Lytechinus pictus: one gene and its partner. The protein of the gene in region 2 interacts with the protein of the main gene of each other region in a pairwise test. Links are inferred from orthologs where the notes say so. Each region holds a gene or a part of one and is shown on either strand. Other genes may lie near its edges.

Region 1 (8,032 bases), on a different chromosome or scaffold from region 2:
TATCAAACATCCTACATAGGTGAGATAGCTCATTCTTTTTAAAACCAAGGTAGAATTGCATGAAACAGTTTTAACTCTGACTAATTCTTGGTATTGCTTGCTTAAGAAGCAATGGTCTCTCAGTGTAAAGAGAATGGCAATACACCAGTGCTGACAAGCTTCATTAAATGGTGTTGCAAGAAACTTGCACTCAATTGCAAGTCAAATTTGGGTCCAAATATTAATTATAACTCTGGCAATTAATTGACAATTTACACTCGATTGCTGGTGTGCTTCTTGTAACATGCAAATAGCTCTACTTACCGGTAGCATTTATGTATCAAATTATAATTTGCATCAGAATTTGCAATTGATTGCAAATACTTTCCTGCAAAGCCTCTTAAAGAGATAGCAAGAAATATAAAGGGCTCACTGGCCACCCCCCCCCCCTCCCCAACTGACTACTAACATGACTTCACAGGTACTGTAGTGCATCAAACAAAAGCTTCTGAAGTTTTGTTTCAAATCATAGGGGTGAGCCCAATAACCAGAAAACCTGAGAGAAAGGTTAATTATCCCTTATCAAGAATATATTTTGATTACATATTTTTGTTTTGGTGAAACATTTCTTGGAAAGAATGAGGGACTGTGAGACATGTGTCAAACTTTGCAAAGAATTCCCTGGCAGACTGAGGAAGACCCATACAGTGGATAGTCAACTTCTGAAGTTGACAGTGACTGGTGACTTACCTTTTGAGGTTGAGGAACAGCCTTGGTGACTCGAAGAGTACTGCTACCAGCCAGTAAGGGATTGCTGCTCTGACGAGCGGAGGTACCATGGTGAGAGGATGCCATGGAAATAGGCGATGGGGATTCCTTCTGAGGTGGGTTCCGGATGGTGATCTGCGTCTTGTTCTGCACTCTTGCAGGGTTACGCACAGTAAAGGTTGAACCCAACTGCCAATGGAAAAAAATATATATATTTAATTCATGCTTGCGAGCAATTCTAAATCTAACATACATGTATATTGACCTCTGGCCTTGCGGTCCTCAAACTCAGATTCTACAATTCATTGAAAAAAAACAGAAGGCATTCTAATGGCAATGCTGACAAATTAATCATTGTTGCATAAAGGGAAAATATGAACCAGTTTATTACCTGACACACATGCACATTATCATCTGCACTACCTACATGTACACGGTAATAGACTTCACAAGTAGCTGATTTTATACAAGATAAACTTTGAACCAAGAAACTAATGTCAAACTTAATCTAATTTTCCTCTAAATAGTAGGATACTGTATGCAGTCTTAAGTCAGAGTCCAAAGGGAGTGCATTTTTAAGGTAATAATGTGATGTTTACTATAAAAAGAATATGTGATGTATTATCATTGTCAATGTCATATTGGAGATTAAATAACTTCATACATGAAGGACAGTAATTCGATCATTGAATTATAAATAAAAAACAAATCATCAAAATGAATGTTCCTGTGATGATAATGTGAAAGATTCTCTACCTAGCAATAAACATCCATCAAAGCCAGTTAAAATTTCTTCATGTGATCTTCATGAATAAAATGTTTTCGATAAATATATTCTGGTTCTCTTACATTTGGCACTGTTCTGGCAAGGGGTCTGCTCTGAGGGGCACTAGGAGATTGTAGTTGCTCCCCACTACCCCTCGGTTGGCCCCCACCACTCCCCAGTTGCCCTCCACCACTCCTTGGTTGCCCCACCACCTGTCCATCTGCATTCCTCTTCCTCGATGTCAGCTTCTCCCTTGCATCGGTCTGCCTTGCTTTCTTGGCCAGTCGGTCCCGGGCATCACCTTGGTGGGCTTTCTGGATCAGCTTCTGTCTTGCATCAACGATCACTGGTGGTTTTTCCTGGAATTGTTGTTTTTGCCAACTGCCTCTACCCCTGCCTCTGTTCTGGCCCCTGGGGTTCACTTGAGGTGCTCTCCCACCCCTGCTTATACCTGCTCCCCCTCTACCTCTCCCCCTGCATGGTGAACAAATAGGAGTTGCATTGATTTTACAGCAATTTAAACTATCAGATTTAGATTAAAGAATATAAGCTAAACAATTGGTACCCTCTACATTATGTTGAATGATCAATAATGGAGGCTTTTAGGGAGTAAAATGAATATGCAAGCTTACTCTGTATGAAGTATCCTAGCTTAGATGGTCAAGCGAGGAATTAAACAGAACCATACTTTGCTTTCGGTTCTTTGTGAAAACTGAGTTCGTGGTAATAACTTGCTTGGATTTACTTGGATGTAAAGGCAAACAGGTAAATCTGGAAGCTATCTGCTTCTCATATTTCAATGGATGGATTGTGAAATTATATAATTTATAATCCCTGTGTAAGGTCACAGGCATTTTGTTCTGTGTTTGATTTCTATTTAGGGGGCACTACTCCATCTCCACGGCAATCCTGCAGTGGAGTAACTAAGAAAAAGAAGGTCGTCCAATTTTAATTTCAGGGTGGAAAATGTATTAAAAAAAAAAAAAATTATTGTGCTTTTTTTCTTAATTTCCCAACATTAACAGTGTAACACTGTAACAGATGGTACCATACCATGCAAAATTGTTCTTTTGTCGGTAGGCCTAATGGAGTAATGCTTAATTAGAGTAATTGCAAATCATGCACAGACAAGTCTTATGAACATGACTGATATCGAAAGTTTTACATTTCTTTTTCTAAAAACAGACAAAGGTCTACATGTATTAATTAGTATAACTAGTATGGATAGACTAAATTGGCTGTATGACTATTTCCAAGTCTAATGCTGGACATTGTTGTGTGCACCTGTATAGCTGCACGGTGAAGTTACAAGCCCTGCCCCTGGTCACATCTTTCCGATGCGATGGTGACGCAAAACTTTCGATCCCAGACATAAATAATCATAGGAATACCTGAATTTCTGATTGAAACACATCTGTAAGAACCCAAATAGTACAAATACATAACTTTGTCGCAAGTTCAAGATTGAATAACACTTTTAACAGTCATTGGATTTAATTTTCAAAATCGTAAAATCTTTTGTCATGTCAATTGTCAACTTATTAATTCAGGATATGAAAGAATAAAATAAGCTAAATAATGACTGTGTTATTGATATCATTTAATTTCTTTCAAATGAGCTAAATGATAAATCCCAGGTAGCACACACTCTCACAAAAATACTTCTGCACAAGTCAAGTGCATGCCAACCGGGTGCAAATCAAAGACAAAGTGCAGCCAGTGACCACTCGAACTAATGCGATATACCACGCACAACTTATGTGCGGTACCAGCGATTTAGCTCCTGTGAAATTCGAACAGCCGTATCACAGAATTGTGAAAGATTGATTAGACATGCGTGCGTAAGGATTGCGCAAGTCAGTGATGGTCATGGCATCCTGTGTGAGCCGTGGACCTGGCGTCGCGAAGAACAATATCTTACCTCCCCAAACGGTTCTGAAAGACAGAAGTTTTAGATGTTTTCCTTTCCCTGATTATGTCATCTAAAGACTTATCCATGACTTTCATCTGGACGAACCAATCAAAATTAATTATTTTAATTATTTTTTCGGTGAAGAAAAAATTTGCGTCGTATGTCAATCCGCGTGTGTCGACGTTACGAGCGTGTGTCGTGCGCGCGCGTATGGTAGTTTCAAAAAGGCAAAATACGAAGATAATATAGACAACAAAAAAAGTAAGTCCCCCCTAAATCAAATTGCAGTTACTTTTGAATTATATTATTTTGAGATATGATATTTCGGAGGTGGTTTTCTACCCTCACAAAGCAACTCCTGGTGAAAAATGAGATTGATCGGTTAAGTCATGCATGAGTAATTAAAGATTGAATTAAAAATGACAATTTTTTAAAGTCACAAGAGTCGTTTTTCAGATTCTGTTGTGCAAATACAAAATTGGGCAAAAGTTTTTAGGTGAATTTTATAGTGTTATGCTGTTTTACTATCCATCATTTAGCCACCCCACACACAATTTTGATATCGTATGTTCATGGTTGAGTGAGCACAAAGTATTGCAGGGGCCGCGGAAGCGGGGGGGGGGGGCTTCAGCCCCCCACTTTTTTCCAAAAGCATGTAAAATGTAAATATGACCACACGATTGTGATTTTTTGCATGGTCAGCCCCCCCCCCCCACTTTGAAACCGTTCCGCGACCCCTGTATTGTGACGTATCATCATAGGGGTTTATGGTAGTATCCTCTACAACTTGTTAGATCATGTTAAAATTTGAAAATGTTGGTGTCTCCCCCGATTATAGGCCCCTCCCCCATTTTTTTTTATTCTGGATCCACCACTGATTTGTCCATAAATTAAGCTGATCATGAGAAATTTATGCAGTATAAAGAGTATTCATTCCTAAGTTTTCGAATGTGCTCGCTCAACCCTGAAAATGTTTAAAGTTCGGAAAGTGTGTGGTGATAGAACTTGATGGATGATAAAAACAACAGCAATTAAAGTCACATTTGAAATTTTCATTTTTGCACAAAATTCTGCCCATAGATTGATAAACATTACTGCCAAATGACATTGCTAAAGACAGCCTTGAAAAAAGTTCCACCATATTGAATAAGGGGTTACTTATTCTTAAAGGAGAATGAAACTCTTGGAGCAAGTTAGCTTTTGTGAAAGCAGAAAAATCAAAGAATAAGATCAACAAAAGTTTGAGTAAAATAGGACTAGCAATAGAAGAGTTATGAGCATTTGAATGTCGAGATCACTAATGCTATGGAGATCCTCCCATTGGCAATTCGACCAATAATAATAATAAAATAATAATAATATGGAGCTTTTATATAGCGCTTAATACAATGCAGTTTCTAAGCGCAAGATCTATGATGTCACAGATGAACAACTCTCCCCTTTTGGACACTGAAAATATACCCCAAAACATCTCCTTTTGCTCATTATAATCATATGACAAACGATTCATCAATGATATAATGTTGTGAAACCTCTGTACTTGTCCTCTCATAAAGAGAACTCCTCACCTTGTGATAGACTCTATAAAAGTGAGAATATAAGTGAAATAAGTATTAAAGTAATGAGGGAGTTGTACGTGTGTGACATCACAGATCTTGGTCGCATTGCCAATGGGAGGAACTACATGGCATAAGTGATCTCAATATTCAAATTCTCATAACTTTCTTATTATTCATTCAATCTTCCTCAGCTTTCAACAATATGTTTCTTTGATTTTTCTCTTTGATATGAATTCAGCTGGTTTCAAGGGTTTCATTCTCCTTTACATATGCACCTATAATGTACACAAGTCTATGAGAGAGAAGGTCAAAATTATAACAAATATGAAATGAGGGTTTGTTTCATGGACGGTTTTTGTTACTTCTGCCAACAGTTATTTCATAAAACTTCGCACATGGCTTCAGAGTAACACTATCCAAAAGGCGCGCACACCAAAATAACCATTCGATACGGCACAGAGTGGGGCCAAGGCATTGAACTTTCTTCTCATTTGCATGATTTTCGAATATTGTGTGCTCGCTGATGCATTAAACATCGGGATTTTCATAAAATCAAATCAAATGAACTATGCAAGGAGGTTTGTGACAGATATCTATAGTTACAAATTGCATTTTTTCCAATAACGTAAAAAAGAGCTAATCACATTACATGTTCATTCAAGCGTGAAAGTTTAATTAAACGCCTTTGAATCATTGAAGCATGTTATTTGGTCATGAAAATAACGAAAAAGTTGAGAAAATATCATTTTCAATTACCAAAATGAAACAATACATGCCTGTGATATTTGAAAATCGTATTTTTTGTTTTCAATAAATGTTCATTGAACCGTGAAACGATGAATATTGTTGAAGATACTCTTCCCAAAAATAACTGTCATCATATTCTATAATTTTTATTGATAGAAAAGTGTAAAAGATCCAATTATAGCAAATTCGGACTTGTGTTTATTCAACCGTGAAATTTAGCCAAAAAATGTTGTATCGTCTCAGTTTTAGAAAGTACCTTTTACAAGCCTTCTGACTGTTTTTCATGATGAGATTGTGGAATTAGATCCAATAAAATGGAATCAAAGTAATGATATTTGGCTTGTGACTTTTGAAAAGTGAAATTTTTGCCTTTTGACGATGTTCACTGAAGCATGACGTAAAATATGTCCATAACATTTACTCAGAGGATAGCTTATAAAATTACCTACACGCTTATGTAAAAATGTATTAAAAACTCGCATTGGTTCGGAAATTATTGATGTTTGTTTAAGGGGGGACTTACTTTTTTTGTTGTGTATAGTTGACGAAGTTCGACTGAGATGGTTATTGGTCATTGTGCTTATAGCAGTAACAAAAAAGTCTTATTTGCATACAGTTAACAGATAATCCTTCCGCTTTCCTTCAATTACAAAAAAATGTTGGTGCCACGCGATAGGCTTCTAATCATATTATTATGATCATCATGGGCGGAAATCTGTCCCAAAAAAGGTATATGGGGGCAGGGCCTTGAAAATTTGACAAGCAAAAAAAAAAAGGTTATCACCCAAAATGTAAGCCCATTTTAACCCACAAATAATTTGACAAGCAAAAAAAAAAAAAAAAAGTTTTTCACCCTTAGTCCAAAACACAAGTATTATTGAAGTAATGCATTTTTCTCCATCATAACAGACCAAAAATAGTAGGGGGAAATTTGATATTGTGTCCCCCTACTATTTTTGGTAGGGGGGACACGTCCCCCCTGTCTCCTTTGGGATTTCCGCCCATGGTGATCATGATGACTAGAAGCTTAGATGGGATGAGTAGGCCCACAAAAAAAATTATCTCTTCAATTTAAAAATAGTGACAAATTTTATTTCAGTATACAATGTATTTAATTTCAGTATCTTTCAGTATCTTTAGGTCTATGGTCTATCCCCCCTCCTTCCCCCCGCCCCATGATGTCTTATATTATAAGATGCATACAGTTTATTTTAGATAACGGAATTCGACAATTTAGTTTCAAATTTTCGAACAAGATATTTTACCCTCAAAAGATAATCTATATGAGTGGCATGTGACAAATAACTTATGAAATATTTCTGAGGAAATTGAAACCACTTTTCACTCACACTGCATAAAATCGATTATTTTGGAAGATTATAGAAAGATTGAAAAGTTGGAGATTGTTTTTTCCATAGATGAAAAAAGGTTTGGCCTAATTATCGGTAATTAAAAAAAACTCCCACTGTTTAAAAAAACGTGATTTTACAGAATTTTTTTTTTTTTCTTCAATTTAACAGAACAGGTCTGTTTAAAAAGTGGAAATGGGTGTTTCATTTAAGGAAATTTGTAAGATTCCATACATCAAATACCAATTTCCTGTAAGATTACGCAATCTGGTAAGATTACAGGTGCTGCAGGAACTTCTTTTATTTTAAGGATAAATTTTCTAACAGTGCCGCCACGCCTTATCACAGACGGATCCAGGGAGGCGAGGGCCCCGGCCCCTCCCAATAATTGGCGGAGCATAAAAAAAGAAAAGAAGGGAAAGAAATTTTAAAAGGGGTGGGGGGAAGAGAGAAGGAAAACATGATTTTAAAAATAAGAGGAGGAAGACGAGGGAAAGACTTTGATTTTTTTTTAATCTTTAATGTCACTATATGCAATTTTCGCATTGCCTGTCCGATGAGTTTCATATCTCGCTCAAAAGGATGATGAAGCTATATCAAGTTTTGAGGTCAATCTACAAAACATATATCAGCTCGGACATCGAGCTTTATATACTTTTTTAAATTATTTTGCTTGATTTACAAATGGTGATTTTGTTTAATGTTCTGTAAAATGTCCATTTTATGGTCTAAATATCAATATTTTGAACTCGCGCTTCGAGCTCGCATCATTGATTTTCATGATAAAAAAAGTATTCAGAATGCCCAGATCTTTAGGTCAAAATCTACTCCACGCGCACGCGTGTTTTTGGGGACACACCAGCTTTCCTTCATTTATGCTTAAAATATCCAGTTTCAGATCAGAATTTTTCATGATTTACCAAACATGAATAAAGTATCAGGCTCTTAGGTC
Region 2 (8,750 bases):
TTATGTACGTGTATTCCAACAATTCCACTTTGGTCTGGTAATAAATTCGCCGCTAATCGAAATCACCTTTTTATGTCTTGAAAATCAGCGAAATTGATCTTTATTAGTCATTCCATCGATTTAGGGGTGAACATTGGTGCACAGAAAAGGGGGACGGGGTCTACGATTCCCCGAAAGGTAGGGGGTGCATGGACGAAAATGCTATGTATTATATACGTGTATTCCAACAATTCCACTTTGGTTTGGTAATAAATTCGCCGCTAATCGAAATCACCTTTTTATGTCTTGAAAATGTACCAAATTGATCTTCATTAATCACTCCATCGATCTAGGGGTAAACATTGGTGCACAGAAAAGGAAAACGGGGTCTACGGTGCCCCGAAAGGTCGGGGTGCATTGACGAAAATACGGCGCCTGCTATTATGGCGTGCTATGTTATACGTGTATTCCAACTATTCCACTTTGGTGGCCGGGGGCTGGTAATAAATTCGCCGCTAATCGAAATCACCTTTTTATGTCTTCAAAATCAGCGAAATTGATCTTTATTAGTCATTCCATCGATTTAGGGGTGAACATTGGTGCACAGGAAAGGGGGACGGGGTCTACGATGCCCCGAAAGGTAGGGGGTGCATGGACGAAAATGCTATGTATTATATACGTGTATTCCAACAATTCCACTTTGGTTTGGTAATAAATTCGCCGCTAATCGAAATCACCTTTTTATGTCTTGAAAATGAACCAAATTGATCTTCATTAATCACTCCATCGATCTAGGGGTGAACATTGGTGCACAGAAAAGGAAAACGGGGTCTACGGTGCCCCGAAAGGTCGGGGTGCATTGACGAAAATATCACGCGAGCTGTTATGGCGTGCTATATATTATGTACGTGTATTCCAACTATTCCACTTTGGTGGCCGGGGGCTGGTAATAAATTCGCCGCTAATCGAAATCACCTTTTTGTGTCTTGAAAATCAGCGAAATTGATCTTTATTAGTCATTCCATCGATTTAGGGGTAAACATTGGTGCACAGAAAAGGGGGACGGGGTCTACGATGCCCCGAAAGGTGGGGATGCATTGACGAAAATACGGCGCCTGCTATTATGGCGTGCTATATTATGTACGTGTATTCCAACAATTCCACTTTGGTCTGGTAATAAATTCGCCGCTAATCAAAATCACCTTTTTATGTCTTGAAAATCAGCGAAATTGATCTTTATTAGTCATTCCATCGATTTAGGGGTGAACATTGGTGCACAGAAAAGGGGGACGGGGTCTACGATGCCCCGAAAGGTGGGGGTGCATTAACGAAAATACGGCGCCTGCTATTATGGCGTGCTATATTATGTACGTGTATTCCAACAATTCCACTTTGGTCTGGTAATAAATTCGCCGCTAATTGAAATCACCTTTTTATGTCTTGAAAATCAACCAAAATGATCTTTATTAGTCATTCCATCGATTTAGGGGTGAACATTGGTGCACAGAAAAGGGGGACGGGGTCTACGGTGCCCCGAAAGGTAGGGGGTGCATGGACGAAAATGCTATGTATTATATACGTGTATTCCAACAATTCCACTTTGGTTTGGTAATAAATTCGCCGCTAATCGAAATCACCTTTTTATGTCTTGAAAATGAACCAAATTGATCTTCATTAATCACTCCATCGATCTAGGGGTGAACATTGGTGCACAGAAAAGGAGGACGGGGTCTACGGTGCCCCGAAAGGTCGGGGTGCATTGCCGAAAATATCGCGCGAGCTGTTATGGCGTGCTATATATTATGTACGTGTATTCCAACTATTCCACTTTGGTGGCCGGGGGCTGGTAATAAATTCGCCGCTAATCGAAATCACCTTTTTATGTCTTGAAAATCAGCGAAATTGATCTTCATTAGTCATTCCATCGATTTAGGGGTGAACATTGGTGCACAGGAAAGGGGGACGGGGTCTACGATGCCCCGAAAGGTGGGGGTGCATTGACGAAAATACGGCGCCTGCTATTATGGCGTGCTATATTATGTACGTGTATTCCAACTATTCCACTTTGGTGGCCGGGGGCTGGTAATAAATTCGCCGCTAATCGAAATCACCTTTTTATGTCTTGAAAATCAGCGGAATTGATCTTTATTAATCACTTCATCGATCTAGGGGTGAACATTGGTGCACAGAAAAAGAAGACGGGGTCTACGGTGCCCCGAAAGGTGGGGGTGCATGGACGAAAATGCTATGTATTATATACGTGTATTCCAACAATTCCACTTTGGTTTGGTAATAAATTCGCCGCTAATCGAAATCACCTTTTTATGTCTTGAAAATGAACCAAATTGATCTTCATTAATCACTTCATCGATCTAGGGGTGAACATTGGTGCACAGAAAAAGAAGACGGGGTCTACGGTGCCCCGAAAGGTGGGGGTGCATGGACGAAAATGCTATGTATTATATACGTGTATTCCAACAATTCCACTTTGGTTTGGTAATAAATTCGCCGCTAATCGAAATCACCTTTTTATGTCTTGAAAATCAACCAAATTGATTTTTATTAGTCATTTCATCGATTTAGGGGTGAACATTGGTGCACAGAAAAGAAAGACGGGGTCTACGATGCCCCGAAAGGTAGGGGGTGCATGGACGAAAATGCTATGTATTATATACGTGTATTCCAACAATTCCACTTTGGTTTGGTAATAAATTCGCCGCTAATCGAAATCACCTTTTTATGTCTTGAAAATAAACCAAATTGATCTTCATTAATTACTCCATCGATCTAGGGGTGAACATTGGTGCACTGAAAAGGGGGACGGGGTCTACGGTGCCCCGAAAGGTCGGGGTGCATTGCCGAAAATATCGCGCGAGCTGTTATGGCGTGCTATATATTATTATGTACGTGTATTCCAACGTACAATTCCACTTTGGTCTGGTAATAATTCGCCGCTAATCGAAATCACCTTTTTATGTCTTGAAAATCAACCAAATTGAGCTTTATTAGTCATTCCATCGATTTAGGGGTGAACATTGGTGCAGAGAAAAGGGGGACGGGGTCTACGATGCCCCGAAAGGTAGGGGGTGCATGGACGAAAATGCTATGTATTATATACGTGTATTCCAACAATTCCACTTTGGTTTGGTAATAAATTCGCCGCTAATCGAAATCACCTTTTTATGTCTTGAAAATCAGCGAAATTGATCTTTATTAGTCATTCCATCGATTTAGGGGTGAAAATTGGTGCACAGAAAAGGGTGACGGGGTCTACGATACCGCGAAACGTAGAGGGTGCATGGACGAAAATGCTATGTATTATATACGTGTATTCCAACAATTCCACTTTGGTTTGGTAATAAATTCGCCGCTAATCGAAATCACCTTTTTATGTCTTGAAAATCAACCAAATTGATCTTTATTAGTCATTCCATCGATTTAGGGGTGAACATTGGTGCACAGAAAAGGGGGACGCGGTCTACGATGCCCCGAAAGGTAGGGGGTGCATGGACGAAAATGCTATGTATTATATACGTGTATTCCAACAATTCCACTTTGGTTTGGTAATAAATTCGCCGCTAATCGAAATCACCTTTTTATGTCTTGAAAATGAACCAAATTGATCTTCATTAATTACTCCATCGATCTAGGGGTGAACATTGGTGCACTGAAAAGGGGGACGGGGTCTACGGTGCCCCGAAAGGTCGGGGTGCATTGCCGAAAATATCGTGCGAGCTGTTATGGCGTGCTATATATTATTATGTACGTGTATTCCAACGTACAATTCCACTTTGGTCTGGTAATAATTCGCCGCTAATCGAAATCACCTTTTTATGTCTTGAAAATCAACCAAATTGATCTTTATTAGTCATTCCATCGATTTAGGGGTGAACATTGGTGCAGAGAAAAGGGGGACGGGGTCTACGATGCCCCGAAAGGTAGGGGGTGCATGGACGAAAATATAGCGCGTGCTGTGTGTTATATACGTGTATTCCAACAATTCCACTTTGGTCTGGTAATAAATTCGCCGCTAATCGAAATCACCATTTTATGTCTTGAAAATCAACCAAATTGATCTTTATTAATCACTTCATTGATTTAGGGGTGAACATTGTAGCACAGACAAGGGGGACGGGGTCTACGATGCCCCGAAAGGTAGGGGGTACATGGACGAAAATATAGAGCGTGCTATGTGTTATATACGTGTATTCCAACAATTCCACTTTGGTCTGGTAATAAATTCGCCGCTAATCGAAATCACCATTTTATGTCTTGAAAATCAACCAAATAGATCTTTATTAATCACTTCCTCGATTTAGGGGTGAACTTTAAATGGCTCACAAAAAAAGGGACGGCGTCTAAGATGCCCCGAAACCGACGCAGGTAGTGCATCAAAGTTGTAAATTTTACTGAGAATTTAATGTGGTCATCTACCCCCCCCCCTCCCCCCTGTTCCAAGGCCCATGTGAGAGACACTGATCCTTCATATAAAATTAATTAACAGATGCATTTTATTTAGGGAACAAGCAAAACTATATTGCACATAGGAAACTCAGAAGACATAAAATGGTTGTATACTCCGTGCTGGAAATAAGATAGTTATCAATAAGAGTTGAATTTACAAAAGAGAATCCGGAAGCAATCATCAAACTCTGATACTGAATTTTGAAGTAAGCAGTATTTTGTGAAAATAAAATGCACGCAGTCATAACTATCCATTTGAAGTGATCATGATGTCTTGTTCCAACTTTCGTTTTGCTTATAAAATGTTACGTGAAATCATTTTTTAATCATGTGATGTCTCTTATATTAAAATAATGTCCATAAATTAATGAAAAAATGCATTAAATATTTTTGATACAATATTTTTAATTCTATAGGAGGAGGTAATTTGAATAATCACGAATTCATATGATTAAAAAAGTGGGAATATACAGGAGAGATTACTTTTCTCCATTGAATGTTAAAGAAGAAATTTAAGGAATATAGAACTGGCCGAAATGCGGATCTTTAAAATATCATAACTCTACTATCCTTGTCCGATATTGTTAACATTTTACCAACTTTGTTTGATTCTTCTTGATCCGTGTTATTTTCAGCTGCACTCATGCCATATAGAAACATACTCCATTCAATTCTTTATGATTATATTCAAATGTTATACAAATCAGTCATATACTAACATTTGAAGCAATCATAATGTGGAATGGTGCATTATGGAAGTTCCATATTTTCAATCATCTGTAAGTTCGGGTAACTATATGCCTTTTTACTATACCATTTCCGTGCGCATTAAGACAATCTTCGAAACGTTTGAGAATTTAAGCTGTATTTAGGGTCTGCGACTATTAGACTACGCACACGGTGTAGGGCGGTTTGTATCGCGATAGCTCTGTGCGCTGGGTTTGTGCGCTGGCTTGCTTCAATATATTCTGTGCGCTGGGTTTGTGCGCTGGCTTCAGCCTGGTTAAAATTTAATCGTGTAATTCCAATCATGGCGGCCGAGTTCAAGTAAGCACGTGTGTTTGTTTACATTTTGTAAAATTTTGAAAAATCTAAATTTACTGTGTATCTTCATTACTTAAATTAACATAATGTTGTTTTCCTTTGTATTTCAGGACCGCACAGCCGGTGGAATACTACAGACAGTTTTTGGTTAGTATGATTCTGAACTTTAGATTTAGATCAGAACTGAAAATAAATGACTCACTTAACTTAGATTGTTAGACTTAGGGCCTAGTCTTACTCTTAATTAGATTAGAGTTAGTTACACAATGTCAATAATGTGGGACTAAGAGTAAAAGTAAGTCTGAGAAAAAAAAGTGACTGACATGACCCATGTCAGTGAGTGAGAGGAACAATGCCATGAATGGGAATTATTACAAAATAATGTGTTTTTTATTTCTATACTATATACCCTATGACATGTGTAGATTTCAAGAATGTCGACCAGTGTTACACTTACAGCCTACAGGAATTTTTACTTGAAATGTAACTTACTTATTTTACCTTGGTCGGAAGTAGGCATAAAGTTATACACAACTTATTTGCCCCTCTGACAAGGCTGAGCTGTCATGCCATGGCCATGGGCATCAGGGCATGCATGGGCGGAAATCCCAGGGGGGACGTGTCCCCCCTACTCAAAATAGTAGGGGGGACACAATATCAAATGTCCCCCCTACTATTTTTGGTCTTTTATGATGGTAAGAAATACATCATTTTAAATTGAAATAAAACATGAATTTTTGGACGAGATGACCTTACTTTGGCGATGATAACCTTTTTTTTGCTTGTCAAATTTTCCCGCCCCTTGTCCCCATAGGCGGATCCAGGGGGCCGAGGGGCCCGCCCCCCCCCCCCCCCCCCCTCTTGGCGGAGCAAAAAAAGACAAAAGGGAAAGAAAGAAGGAAAAAAGGAGGGAAAAGAGAGGAGAAAAAGAAGAGAAGGACGACGAGTGCATAAAATAAGATGAGGGGAAGACTTGGAAAATAAAAAGTATCTTTCGTGCCACTATATAAAATTTTCGCTCGCGCTTCGCGCTCGCATTGCCTGTTAGGTGATTTACATATCTTGTTCAATATGGAGTTCGAATGTCAAGTTTGGATTAGGAAGTCAACATACAAAACATATTTCACCTCGGAAATCGAACTTTCATTAATTTGTGTAATTTACAAATTTGTTTTTAAAAAGTGCACTGTAAAAATGTCAGTTTTATTGTCTGAATGTTAACATTTGCTGCTTGCGTTGCGCGCTTGCAAATTTTGATTTATCAGGTACTTTATTTTCGTGTATTCCATAAAGTTTTCAAAATATCCCTTTTTCAGGTCAGATTGTCAAGACGTATCAGCTAGCGCGCTGTACAATCGCATTTTGATTGGCGAGTTATATAAATGTTTCAATATTGATTATACAACAAACTACTTAAAATCCCCTTTTCATGACAGTTTATCAAAAATTTTAGCTCGCGATTTGCGCTCGCATTATTAATGTAGGAAGACCCCATATTACTCATACTTTTGATGATTTACAAAACATGAACAGAGTGCCCCATTTTTAGATCTAAATCTCGAATTTTTTTCTGCTCGCGCTTCGCGCTCGCATCAATTGTTAAATTATATAGCTATCCTGCTATTACAAAAACTGATTAAAATTTTTTCATTCTTTCTTTAAAAAGTTCAAAATTTTTCAGCTCGCGCTTCGCGCTCGCATTTTTTGATTGTTGAAATATGTAACGCCTTCATGGCTAAGTGCAAGCAGTCCTTAACAGGTACCTTTTCAACAGGTACCAGTTCAACGCTTTGCGCTCGCATTATTAATACTCATCCTTTTCAGGATTTACAAAACATGAATAGAGTGTCTCGTTCAGTAAATATTATAGGACCAAATCTCAAAATTTTCCGCTCGCGCTTCGCGCTCGCATTAATTGTTTACTTATATACCTATTCTGCTTGAGTTACAAAAAGTGCTTAAAATTTCCATTCTTTAGGTGAAAATGTCAAAATTCAGCTCGCGCTTCGCGCTCGCATTATTTGATTGTTAAATGCTCCTTTAACAGGTATCTTTTCCATCAATTCATTTCTGCTCGCGCGTTGCGTTCGTAGTAATTATTAAGTTGAATACATCTTTTTCAGGATAACAAACATTGCCCAGAATCGGTTCAAATTTTAGGAAAAAATAAATAAAATTTCCAAAAAAATTAGCTCACGCTTCGCGTTCGCATCATATAAATAAGGATTATGATATTATATATTAATTTATAAGAATAAAGCTAAGAAGTGACTAATGAGGACAAACCCTTCAAAGAAACAAACAAAAATCATCTTCGTGCTGCCGATCGGGAAAATATGGCTGAAAAAATTTTCCGCCCCCCCCCTATTGGCGAAGGCTGGATCCGCCCCTGTGTCCCCCCTACCTTTTGGGAGAGATTTCCGCCCCTGAGGGCATGGCTATGTGTGAGTGTGATTGACCGTGATGACATGACCGAGTATGTTCAAGTAACTACTTAGAGTTAGACTTAGAGAGGTCAACATCTAATGATGATAACAGAAACGAAATATTAAGTTTATGAATATGAGACAATTGTAAAATTTTATTTGACTTTGTGGTTATGGAAATTGATAGGGACAGAACCTGATATTAATTTTTGATTTGCTGATGCTGATGTAAGAATTTAGTCTCTTCCCTTGATAAGGTCTACACTACAGTTGCACTTGCAATAGATAGTCTATTATTACTAGAGTAATCTAGATCTATGTGAATTCTGAATCTTGAAGTTGTTTTGCTTTTATGTTTCGCATAGAATAATGAATACTGTTTAGACCATTTTGAAAACATTTGAAGAAAAACAATTGCTTCCCATTATTTAAGAGGTCTTTTAATACTTGTTGTGCTTAGTTATGATCATATTCATTTTCAATGAGAGTCTTTTGAAACTGCACTGTTCTCAGTCATTTGAATTTTTCCTTATAGTTTTGTTATCTCTTCCGTTAATTTTTAAATGTCATTGATTTAACTAGAAGTTGGATCTTGATTGTTTCTTTCTTCTTGTCAAGTGAATGTTATTGTTTTCTAATCTCTACCATAAATTGAACTACTATATCATTATGAGTTCCATGACTTCCCATATTTTGCTGTCTTTATTACTTTCTGGATAAATATAATTTTAGTATTTGAAACACTTGGCTTTCATGTTATTTGTTTTAATCAACTTTTTTGTGCTATCTAGAGTAATAACATCATTTTAATTATCATTATTGCCACTGCCTACTGTT

What was found.
Region 1: the proteins of exosome complex component RRP43-like (region 2) and polymerase delta-interacting protein 3-like interact in a two-hybrid assay, tested with the Homo sapiens proteins (2 studies listed by BioGRID). The link is inferred for Lytechinus pictus from reciprocal best matches to the Homo sapiens genes EXOSC8 and POLDIP3.

Annotation. Positions count from the first base shown.
Region 1 is NC_087254.1:27,719,791-27,727,822, forward strand, and holds the start of polymerase delta-interacting protein 3-like, read right to left. Parts: upstream 3,636-8,032; 5' UTR 3,521-3,635; coding exon 3,435-3,520; intron 1,988-3,434; coding exon 1,597-1,987; intron 937-1,596; coding exon 730-936; intron 1-729. UniProt on the Homo sapiens protein: Is involved in regulation of translation. Is preferentially associated with CBC-bound spliced mRNA-protein complexes during the pioneer round of mRNA translation. Contributes to enhanced translational efficiency of spliced over nonspliced mRNAs.
Region 2 is NW_026974140.1:15,580,827-15,589,576, reverse strand, and holds the start of exosome complex component RRP43-like, read left to right. Parts: upstream 1-5,412; 5' UTR 5,413-5,473; coding exon 5,474-5,490; intron 5,491-5,597; coding exon 5,598-5,634; intron 5,635-8,750. UniProt on the Homo sapiens protein: Non-catalytic component of the RNA exosome complex which has 3'->5' exoribonuclease activity and participates in a multitude of cellular RNA processing and degradation events.